Coturnix japonica: one gene and its partner. The protein of the gene in region 1 binds, or shares a complex with, the protein of each later gene. Links are inferred from orthologs where the notes say so. Each region holds a gene or a part of one and is shown on either strand. Other genes may lie near its edges.

Evidence for each region. Proteins that work in one complex are often made in the same cells at the same time.
Region 2: the proteins of KCND2 (region 1) and KCNIP2 are in contact, whole or in part, in a cryo-EM structure (PDB 7UKH), measured with the Homo sapiens proteins. The link is inferred for Coturnix japonica from reciprocal best matches to the Homo sapiens genes KCND2 and KCNIP2. Residues at the interface, in NP_036413.1 of Homo sapiens: Val5, Ala7, Trp8, Leu9, Pro10, Phe11, Ala12, Arg13, Ala14, Ala15, Ile17, Gly18, Trp19, Met20, Pro21, Val22, Ala23, Ser24, Gly25, Pro26, Met27, Pro28, Ala29, Pro30, Trp55, Asp57, Arg61, Arg100; in NP_775283.1 of Homo sapiens: Arg112, Gly113, Phe114, Asn116, Glu117, Cys118, Val123, Phe128, Ile131, Tyr132, Gln134, Phe135, Phe136, Tyr144, Leu148, Phe152, Phe165, Leu169, Ile172, Leu173, Arg180, Trp183, Ala184, Leu187, Tyr188, Met201, Met205, Ile208, Met211, His228.

Annotation. Positions count from the first base shown.
Region 1 is NC_029516.1:21,152,265-21,158,484, forward strand, and holds part of KCND2 (potassium voltage-gated channel subfamily D member 2), read right to left. Parts: intron 4,038-6,220; coding exon 3,875-4,037; intron 1-3,874. UniProt on the Homo sapiens protein: Voltage-gated potassium channel that mediates transmembrane potassium transport in excitable membranes, primarily in the brain. Mediates the major part of the dendritic A-type current I(SA) in brain neurons.
Region 2 is NC_029521.1:19,822,754-19,827,808, forward strand, and holds the end of KCNIP2 (Kv channel-interacting protein 2), read left to right. Parts: coding exon 1-4; intron 5-219; coding exon 220-289; intron 290-359; coding exon 360-430; intron 431-632; coding exon 633-740; intron 741-915; coding exon 916-1,020; intron 1,021-1,259; coding exon 1,260-1,322; intron 1,323-1,555; coding exon 1,556-1,603; 3' UTR 1,604-2,747; downstream 2,748-5,055. Other genes in the region: OGA (protein O-GlcNAcase), read left to right, coding at 3,417-3,603. UniProt on the Homo sapiens protein: Regulatory subunit of Kv4/D (Shal)-type voltage-gated rapidly inactivating A-type potassium channels. Modulates channel density, inactivation kinetics and rate of recovery from inactivation in a calcium-dependent and isoform-specific manner.

The DNA of each region.
Region 1 (6,220 bases):
ATGAAAGAATCAGAACTGTATGCATTAAGTCAGATTTTGGAGCTAGCTGTCATGTTTCTGTTTGTGTTTCCATTTGTGTTTCCGTCTGTTTGTTTCCGTATGGACCAGTCACAACACATCTGTCATTAAATTTGCCACTTGAAGGCACTGATGAGAAATGAAAATAACTTGACCTCCTGCAGTTGTCTCTAGCTGAGAAAAGCAGCATTCTTCAAAACTGTCTACACTTCTAATAAATCTGCTTGAGGTAAAAACAAAATAGGACTGTAGGCAATAATTAGTTAAGCCCTGAGTGCTAACTCCTGTATGTAGGTTGGACTATATATCTCCCTATTGCCAGATAAGGTCTGATTCTTGGATATCAAAGGCTGGTAGAGAAAAATGTTCTGATAAGCACAGAAAGTGTTTTTGTTGTTGTTTTTTTGTATATTTTTCACTTATTGTTTATATTGGGGTCTCTTTTACAACAATGCATTTTCATAATTAGAAGTAGGATTTTCCTTTAAAATGCATTCAAAATGAGATTACATGTTTATAAATTCCTTCTTTTCTCAAACATTAATGTGCAGCATTATTTTATTTTCTAATCTTGAAGGACAGTGCAGAATTCAGTAAATACATATGTTGGTGGTCACATGGATCTTCAGTAAGTCTCCTATCTCCTTGAGATTAGTTTCCAAGCATGTCATTGAATTCTATCAAGTTTCCTTACGGCTCAAATGTTTGGTCATTTCTAAAGGCTATTTTGATTGAATTTATCCATGGTAAAGGTTACCTTGATTGAATTTATCTATGAGATATTGATAAAGGAATTTCCACAATTCCAGTATCCGCTTTTCTTAGCTAGATGGAAGCCTCTTGAAGCAAACAGGAGGTACCATCTCTTACAAGGGTTTATGCTCTACTTTGAACATAAGTTGTCCATCACTTTCCCAGGGATGAAGGTCAGGCTGACAGGCTTGTAATTTCCTGGGTCAAAATGAATTAAAAATATAGTTTATCCAGAGTCAAAAGTCAGACGCTCAGAGTGTCACTCACTCAGAAACTACCTCTAATTTGTTCTTGGATTTCTTCTATTTGTTCTTGCAACTGTGTTTCTCAGTACGTATTTGATTGTATAGGCAAAGATTGCAAACCCAACTGTAAGAAAGAATACTGCCAGAGCTCCACCTAAGAATCCATGGTTACAACTGGCCTGCTGGAGGGCTGGATGGTTGGCAGGCGCTAATGTAACATTGGGTGCTAAGCTTTGTGCAACTGGTAGTTTTTGTGATCTCTTTCCCATGATAATAGCCACCTTTAAAGGGAGTCATTTCAAGTTCCTTGAATGGCACTACGTTGTCAGGGAATATTAGATGGTAGGGATTCTGCACAGATATAAGGCACTGGATCTTTCTCAATTCAAAATAAAGGCTTGTTTATGTCACAGTGCTGCTGGTGGTGGTACTCTCTTACTAATGTCGTTGCTCATCTCTACCTGCTAGACCAGGCACCTCTGCTGCCAGGACATTCTGCTGAGCTGCAGCCAACAGCCAAATGAGGGAGGCAAAATGGGAGGGGGCTTTGTAAGGGAAGACAGGCTGGGCAGGGCCATCACCTCAGTGCCTCATGCTGTGGTATGACCATGGCTTGCAGCCAACATGGTGGCCTGAACACCTTATACGAAGGTATTAGAGCTCGCCTGTGAAATTCAAGTCTATACTTCATAGGTAAATATTGATAAATACAGGCTGTGCAGTATTCAGTAAGTTCTTTCTGCTGACTTTTCCTTCAGTCCCTCAGAGCAATACTCGGTTCATATCCTCTCAGTCATTTTAAAATGAGAGGGAAGATAAGTTTTGCAATAGAATAAATGAGTGAAACATACCCAGTGCTACATTAACCAGACCTTAAAGCCATTTTTATTATTTTTTTTTAATTCTAAAGCAAGAAGGATATAAACCTGGTCAGAGTAAATCTGTGATCCTTACTCTTGGCATTGTTCTGAGGACTGGAGGAAACGAGATTTTGCAGAATTGCCATTCATCACTTCACGTTCCTGTTTGTGACATACAATAAGCTCACTGTTTTTCAAGGAGAGAAAGTCGGTTATTAAACAGTTTCTATTCAAGAAGAGACTGTAGGGAATATCCACCAGTCTGCTGATCTAATTTTTGTAAGGTATTTTCCAATTTCCATCTCTTTTTCACTGTAAAGTGCAAATCAGATATAGAAAAATTTATTCAACATTATACAGTAGGAGGCTGTGTGTATCTGAAGTTGGTTGTCTGTGCAGTCATGAAAGCTCAGAACAGGCACATTGATTGCTGGGATCAAGCAGATCTGTTATCCATGACTGGCACAATGCTCTGAGGCATAGTAATGAAGCACTGTGTTCTGCTGGTACATACAGTTCTTTCACTCTTTACCGCATTTACGTTATATAAATGAAAAATTCTCTACAAAAGCAGTGTAGTTTAAAAGTTATGTACTCTACATTTTCTGGTTGTGGGAGAAGGGAGTATACAGCTGGGACACAGGACAAAACAAGATGCAAAAGGATGTGTGTAATTAGTAGATAGGGGAGATATGATACTTGGAGCACTAATACAGCCTGTGTTTGAAATCAGGTTTCTAAGTGTCTCTGGGATACCACTGTTCTCTCTGGTAGCCATTTTCCCAAGTCTTTCAAGACATGGCTATTTAAAGGATATAACATCTTTATCCCAAGCCTATGACTGACTTTCTTGGCAGTGTACCTCAGTTTCTCATGATTCTAAGATTTTCCAAGAATTATATCACCGTTTGCTTATTTCACTTCCTTTCTATGGAGTCATCAGTCAAAAAGTTGACCAGGAATAACAAATTTTTGTTATTCATTTTATAGTCTCTAATTGCTGTTGTCTATATGAAGCAGATTCAGCCTCTGTTCCCTTGGTCAACATGTGAATTTCACAGCCATGACCATCCTGTACACCTCTGTGGGCAGGGATCCTATTCTCACTGGACTGCTCAGAACCTGTGCGACCACTGGCTGATGAACCTTTTCCATAGAGTAAACAGCAGATCAGCTGCAGTCCCTTATCAGGGCTTCAGGTGTCAAGAGAGGCCGTATAAGACATTTCTCATCAGAAGGCTGAGTAAAGTGAATTGGGACTGGCATTTCTGATGTGGAATGGAAACAGTGGTGCTGCTCTGTCATGGCTGCATCTTTCCTGGCAAATAGGTCTTCCTGATTCTTGACTTGTGCATGTAGGTCAGTGAGGAAAATATGTCTTGTCATAGAACTAGTTGATATTTTAGTGATATCAGTCACTAAGGAAGCTGAAAAAAAACAACACAATCTTTTGTTTTTGTCTTTTCCCGATTCAGCTTTTTCTGAAGCCTTTTAAGCAAAGTAGTGCCAAGGAGACAAGTTCCCAATAGTCACTCCCCAGAGAGTTAACCTGGGAATTAAAGAAGTGGATTAGTGAAACTGGCTGTTAAGATAGACATTAGAAGTAATGTTTAGGTTTTAGGTGGTTTTTTTTTTGTGTGTGTGTGTGTTTCTTTTTGTGTTTCTTCTCAGAGCACTCTTGAGGAAAGAAAGTCTTGCTGAAAAGTAATGCTTTCAGTAGGCAGTACTACAGTTATTGCCTAAAAACAGTAGATCTGGTCTAACAATTAGGATGAATTACATCTGTAATTACATCTGTACATTTTGACAAAAAAAGATAAACAAACCATTTTTATTTAAATTAAAATTAACACAGCATTTGCATCTGGAACTCTGGCTTGGCACGTAATGTATATATAGCAGTCATATTTGTAATAAATCATACTCGCTTTTGAGACACATAAAAATTTACCTTTATGCTACTGTCAGTATCAAAAGGGGAAAAATTGAGGATCTCACCTTCTGTGCCCTGCGCTTGTCTGCTCGCTGGTTCTGGTGGTAGATACGGCTGAAGTTGGAGACAATGACAGGAACTGGCAGAGCAATCACTAAGACCCCACTCAATGAGCATATTGAACCAAAAATCTTGCCAGCTATTGTCTTCGGCACCATGTCACCATACCTGGGTTGAAGAAAATAAAACCCTTAGCAAAGACAAAATCTTTTCTAAGTACCAAATTTCAAGATAAATTAATTGCACAGTAGATTTTTCTTCTCTTTCATATAACACTTGATGGATATCATATTTTACACATTTTACACATTTGTTATATAGCAAGCCTAGTGCTGGGCTTCCTAAGGTGGAAGCTGCTCAAGTCTTCCCAACTGACTCTATTGTGATGAAGACAGACCTGCCTCTGGAAAAAATTCTTAGGGTCTAAGTCCTTCCTCTGTTTGTTTGATTGAAGAACTCACTGCTTTCCATTGGTGAGATCCAAGGGAGATCACTTGGTAAGTTAGATGTCAAGCTGAATAATCTATATTCTCACTAAGCTGGTATAGAGCTTTCCTTTAGGAAAGCAGTGTATTTTGGAACAGGGAGCCTGGGAGATCATGAACGTTCTATCCTTGGAGATTTTCAAGACTTGGCTGAACAGAAAGACGTCTGACCTAATCTTTTGTTGTTGATAGGACTTCTCTGAGTGAGAGGCTAGAATATCTGACCTCCACAGGTCCCTCCTATAGTTTAAATATTTTTCCACGTAGCCAAAAGCAAACCCCAGAAACTCGAGCCACAAGTGCAAACAACTAAAGAAATTTGAACTGCAAATCCTGGCAGTATTCAGAACTACTACGACTGGAATTTACCACATTTCTTTATGATGCTGGATATTGTTTTTTCCAGCAAGTGTATAATATTTCTTATAGTGTTGCTAAGAAGTATGTAGAGAGATTCCAGTGCCAGCTTATTAAGAGAAATCAGCTATTTGCACTTTGTAGACTGCCATATTCTATAGGACAAGGATGTAAATACAGACTACAGAGTTTAATAAAGAGATACATTACCTGCAAGTACCATTCTGTTTCAACTGAGTTTTAAACTATTAGTAAACATAGACTGTAGCATGTCCTTGTGTGAAGTGACACAGAACGTTTTCTACTGTGGAGTTTACAACAAGAAAAAAGGTAAGAAATAAAACTGCAGGAGGAACAATATTTGGAGAGTGGTATCTGGAAAACAGAAGCAGTTCAGAAGGAAGCTGGAGAAGCAGGAGAAGTTAGGGTGGAGTCTTCAAATTACACGGTCCAAATTGTGCCCATAATCATGAGAAGAGGGGCTGTCTAACCATGGTTAGAGAGCACTTTCTAGCAACAAGAGCTCAGCTTGTGTGTGAAGGAGATCATATATCACCTTGTGGGGGAAGATGAATGACTTGAATTTTCTAAGATAAGACGAAGGTATTTAACTCAAAGATTCAAATAAGGTTCATCCAGGCAGACATAATATAGATGGCCATGTCTTAGTTTATTGACCATGACTATGTTGTGTAAAATAGATGTTTAGCTGCTTTATAAGGCATGCCGAGGTGTAAAACATTCACAGGAAAAATTGTATATTATTATTTGTACTAATAAAATAGTCACCTCAGAATTTCTGTGTTGGTAATTGCTGATTTTGTGACATGCAGGAGTGGATAAAATGACATCAGGTAATAGAAACCATCTTCTAAGTTAATAATACAGGTTGTCTCAATTACAGGATGTATAAAATAAAGAACACTGGAAAGAGAGCTTTTCTGAGCTATTAACATTTGCAGCTTAGAACAAAGGTATTTTTGGTGCTTGTCTTCCTAAGCTAACCAGCCGTTCTCAGAGGTGACACATATGCAACTGTTGGGCCTGTGGGTGGATAATCAGCTTTTTGAGGTCCCTTTGCTGAACAGGGTCCTGGACACCTGACTAGTGCACTCAGCAGTGGTGAATGAGTGGAAACACAGGGATGCTGCTGGTGCAGGGTGGGAGGGTCTGCCCAGCACCCCCATACTGCCCTGTGAGCACCTGGGTGTGATGGGTGGCCTGAAGTTTGCTTAGAAGGGAAGGCCAAGGATCAGACCAGTGGTAAAAATTATTGGCTTACAGGAACTGCTGGTGTTTTGCTTCTTCCTTTAGGAGATGACCCAAGTATTTTTGGAAATTGAATTAAAGTGTATCAACAGAAAGCTATTTAGAAGGCAGGATAAATTTACACACACTTGATGCTATCAGAATTTGAAATACAAAATTTATACACATCTAGTACTATTATGACAGACCTATCAAACTAGATTACTAAGTCTATATTTAGATAACTAAAATTATCACTTG
Region 2 (5,055 bases), on another chromosome or scaffold:
GAACGTGAGTAGCTCTCACTCCTCCACAGCTATGCACCCCTTGGGATGCTTTTGCATCCTGTTGTCACACTCTGAATGGCTACAAATGGCAGCAGTGTGGATGCAGTTTCCCTTGAAGCTTTGGGGGGGTTCCCTAATCCTGGGATTTAAGGGCAGAGAGCCCCAAGCATCACACCATTCCCCATGCTAATGGTGTGTCCCCTCCATTTGCCCTGGCAGGAGTGCCCAAGTGGCATCGTTAATGAAGAAAACTTCAAGCAGATCTACTCGCAGTTCTTCCCACAAGGAGGTGAGTGTGAGTCCCCCCCCCTGGTGCCCCATGTGGGGCTGCCTTCTCTCTCACTGTTTGCCTCCTCCAGACTCCAGCACGTATGCCACCTTCCTTTTCAATGCCTTCGACACGGACCATGACGGCTCTGTCAGCTTTGAGGTGAGCCAAGGAGTGGGACAGGCTTTGCCATGTGTGCCATGGGCTGGGACTGCCATGGGCAGCTGCTGAAGGACTTTGTTAGTAGGAAAAACAGTGCAAAAGCATCAACAACAGAAAGAGTTTTGTAGTTTCTGGTTGAGGGAAAAGACTCGTGGCGTTTCTGTGGGGGTATCACTCCAAAAGGTGACCACCTGCTTTGCAGGACTTTGTATCTGGGCTGTCCATCATCCTGCGAGGCACCATCGATGACCGCCTGAACTGGGCCTTCAATCTCTACGACCTGAACAAAGACGGCTGCATCACCAAAGAGGTGGGAGAGGGGTCCAAGCTGAAGCAGGTCTGCACCCAGTGGGGATGAGGGCAGGGCTCAGGGCATTTCCTTGAGGATCTCATGGGTCCTTTGGGGGTATAATGAACAGCATATGTGTGATGGGAACCAGATGGAGGCAGAGCTGCTCCACATTGCAACCCTGCCTTCCCTCCAGGAAATGCTGGACATCATGAAATCTATCTACGACATGATGGGCAAGTACACGTACCCGGCCATGCGGGAGGAAGCACCCCGGGAGCACGTGGAGAACTTCTTCCAGGTGAGCTGGGTGCATCTGTGGGGACCCTGCATGCAGGAAACACTGTTCTGGGGACAAATCAGGGCTCCAGTGAGCAGCCTGCCTGGGACAGGGTGGGATTCAAGCCCAGAAGTGCTCTCTGTAAGGGCTTTGGCAATGGCTACTCTCTCTGCTTTGCATCTGACTACCATAGAACCTGGGCTGGGGGTGCTGGGCTGTCCCCATTCCTTCAATGCCCTCCATGCTGTGCTTGTCTACAGAAAATGGACCGAAACAAAGATGGTGTGGTGACAATCGAGGAGTTCCTGGAGTCCTGCCAGAAGGTAAAGCCATGGGGCTCAGCACAGCATAGCTGGGGCTCTGCTCTGGGAGCCATGTTTATGCCATCATCCCTGTGTGGGTGGGGAACAGCACATCCCAGCATGGCCCTTGTAAGCCTTGGAGCTCCTGTCCTGTGTGTCAGAGCAGCTGGACGAGATTATCCATGGGGTAATACCAGGTTTGGGGGAGCAGCCCAGAGTGCTGCTCTGTGCCCAAACACTCCTCCTCCCTGCAGGATGAGAACATCATGCGGTCCATGCAGCTCTTCGACAACGTGATTTAGCTGTCTCCAGCTGAGCTCTCCTGACACCAGGCTCAGAGCCTGCTCCTCTCTCCACTTCTCCTTCCAGCCCTTCCTGCTGCCGGCTGCCATGCAGAGACACAGTCGGCTCCTGGATGTATCCTTCCCCCAAGGCCAGACCCACTTTCCTTGGGAGGCCCCACAAAAGTGCCACCAGAGTGTGGGCACAGCTGGCACGGGGCATCTGGCCTGGGTGGGCTTCACACACCCGATCCTAAAGGGAAAGCCTCAGCCTTGGGCTGCCATAGGGGCTTCCCTGTGCCCCCACATCATGTCCCCGTCAGCAGCCCCAGCACCGGCTCCAGCCCAAACCCTCCAGCAACACTTCTAGGAACTAAGAGTCTCGCAGCAGGCACCTCAGCTTCCTCTTGTGTCCTGATGTGGGGACGTGTCCCCCTCCTCGCTCACTCAGGGTGCTGGGCTCACTCCTGTCTGTTACAACAGCTGCCTGGAGCTGGGTGTGCACTCCTGTCCCACCTACGTATCCCTCCAAGTCCTGTCTGGGGCCTAATGTCTCTACACCAAACTCCTGCTTAGCCCCACCGGCTTCAGGTCCTATCCCGCAGATTGGCCCAGCTGCTCCCACCGCTGTGTCCTGAGGGGTAGCAGTGGCTGGGATCGATGGGGAACGGGCGAGCAAGGCTGTGCCCCACACCAGGCTGAGCCCTGGTGTCAGACCCCCCATAGGGCCCTGAACCTCAGCTTTGGGGCAGACCCTGCTGGGTCCGCTCCAGGCCTGGCTTGCGTAGAGGCGATGTGTTTTTTAGCTCTGTCCACCACACTGTTCATCTCACAGCCCTGCTCCTGGGCGGGACAGCAAGTACCCCATCCAAATAACCCATCCAAATACCCCATCCAAATACCCCATCCAAATACCCCAACCAAGTGCCCCATCCAGGTACCCCATCCAAGTACCCCAACCCCATCCCCTCCCGTCCCCCCCCCCTCCCTCACTATGCATTGGCATGGCGTGACCCCCGCCCCAGGGCATGGTGACCCACATCCCGCTTGGCATCTCCAGTCTGTATATTTTGTATTATAACGATAGGATGGGTTAATAAAACAAAAAAGACGGGGGGTGGGAGGGGGCTCAAACAATAAAATCTATCCACGATCGCTATGCACATTGCTGGTATCGCCCTCTGCCTTTGTTGGGTGTTTGGGGGGGAGATGGGGGCTCCATCGTTGCGCATGCGCGTACCCGCGGCGCGTCCGCGGGTCGTCACTGTGCGCATGCGCACACCCGAAGTAAACACTGGACTTCCGCGCCGCTTCCCTACACAAAGCGCACTGCGCATGCGCCATCTGCCACCATGCGCATGCGCGCTGCCCCGCTGCCGCCTCTCCCCTCCCCCGGGGCCTGTCGCGCACGCGCATTAAGCACGCTCCAGCCGCCCGCGCATGCGCAGTGTGCTGCCGCGGCCTCGCCCCTCCCCCCGCCCGCCTGTTGAGCGTGCGCACTGCGCTCTTTTCCACCTTCGGCGCATGCGCGGTAGGCGGGCTCTCCCCTCAGCCCGCCAGTTCCCCGCTGTGTCTCGCTCCGCTCTGCCCGTTGTTGTTCCCGGTGGGTTGAGCCTTCGGGCCGCGCTCCGTCTGCCCGTTCCCGGTTTCCCCCGGCCCCGCGGGCGGCGCTTCGGTTCCTCAACGAGCTGCGGGCGGAGCGCTGAGGACCGGTTGGGGCCGGTTGGCCGCGCAGGCGCAGGGCCCCGTAAACAGGAAGCGGCGGCGGCGACAAAGGGCTGCGGGGAGGAGGGCTCGGCCCGGACACAGCGCGGTCCTGGCGGCGGGCGGCAGGATGGCGCACAAGGACGGGCAGGCGGCGTTGGACGAGCCCCAGGGCAGCCCCAACCCGGCCGCCGTGCCCGGAGCTCCCTTGGAACCCTCGGGAGCCGCCACGGGGCCCGTCCCGGGGGGTGAAGAAACCGACACGGAGACGGAGACGGCGCTGGGATCCCGCCGCTTCCTCTGCGGTGTGGTGGAAGGTGAGAGCTGATGGGGGGGCCGACATCCCCGGGGCCGTTTGTTGGGGGGGTTGCGGGGAGCAGGGCCCCATCTCCTCCCTAGGCCCTGAGCTGGGGGCGGGGAGCGGCCTGGCCTGGCAGCTGCTCGGTGGGGCTGGCACCCACTGCGGGCCGAGGATTCCTAAGGGAGGCCGGGGCGGCGCGGCTGCTGCTACGTGTTAAAAGGGGGAGGAGGGAGGGAAGCGCTCCCGTGCGGTTATCCCAGCTGGACGCACGCCGGGGGGGCTGAGGTTTGGTTACCAGGGTAGGGAATAGGTGATTGCAGAGACATCTGTTATGCGATTAATATCAGATGCTCCTTCAGTCCTGCAGTGTTAACGTTTTAACAGCGTTATAGAGTGTTTCTTTTACATAATTTGTTGTGGAGGTTCTATTCAAAGGTTTTAAGTCGTTCCAGAAGCTTCAGAAGAGAAGGGCTGTTTTTCTGTTCCGCGGTAACTACAGAATTTATGTGTGTTTTTGCTGAATTGGTTGAAGTAGATGGTTGAAAGCCAGCGAGAAAAGTGTTTTTGTTCCCTACTTAATTAGCTGCCTTGGAATAGCTCTACATTCGGTGGAGTGCTGTTATTTTGGTACCTATAATGACTCTCCAGGAGGGGAACAAAAGCGTTAACAGATGAGAAGCGAAATGGGCAGTTTATCAAAGTCAATATCTGCCCTGCTTGCAGAACGGCTTTTGTTCATATCTTAAACAGAGCATTGGGTTCCAGCATCCATCACTGTGTGTAAGGGCTAGTTTGTGCCTTTCCTTTGTGGCATTGCTGGGGCTTAAATATAGTCAGTGTGGAGTTGGATGGGCAGGTTATTAAACGTTTCTCTATGGAGAAATATCCTTTGAAGACAGGTAGTATAGAATAGAAATAGACAGGTAGTAGTGGGCAGAAATAAAGATTGTAACTGCATGATTTCTCCTCACACTCCTGAATGATACACCTGGAGCACAGCACCACCTTCCCATGCAGTACTGTGTCAAAGCACTGTGTGTACACCATCACCATGTTTGGGAGCTGTTTTAATGACATTATAGGTCTCGTTTGAATATATATTTTGAAGCAGCTGCTATAAATATAGGTGTTCTTGGCTGCGTTGTAAAAGAAAGCAAGAAAATGGCTCCTGCCCAGTGAAGCAGTCTAATATTAGCTGGGAGTTATCTGTTAAGCTTTAACTGTGTACAGAAGGAATAAGGGAGTGTAAAAACAAAGCAGCAGTTGTGTTGGCTGAGGGAAGTGGGAGCAGGAGGAAATAGCAGCCTCTGTAGTAACGTGAGAATTATTGGCTTAAGAGAAAAACTGGTTAACTCCAGAAGCAAAGATAAATACATCCATAGTGCGGCAGCTAACACAGCCTGGAGATACCGTATAATTGAAGCAGTGAACAGCAGAGTCCGGGTGTTTTGTGGGAAGAGGAGGTAAA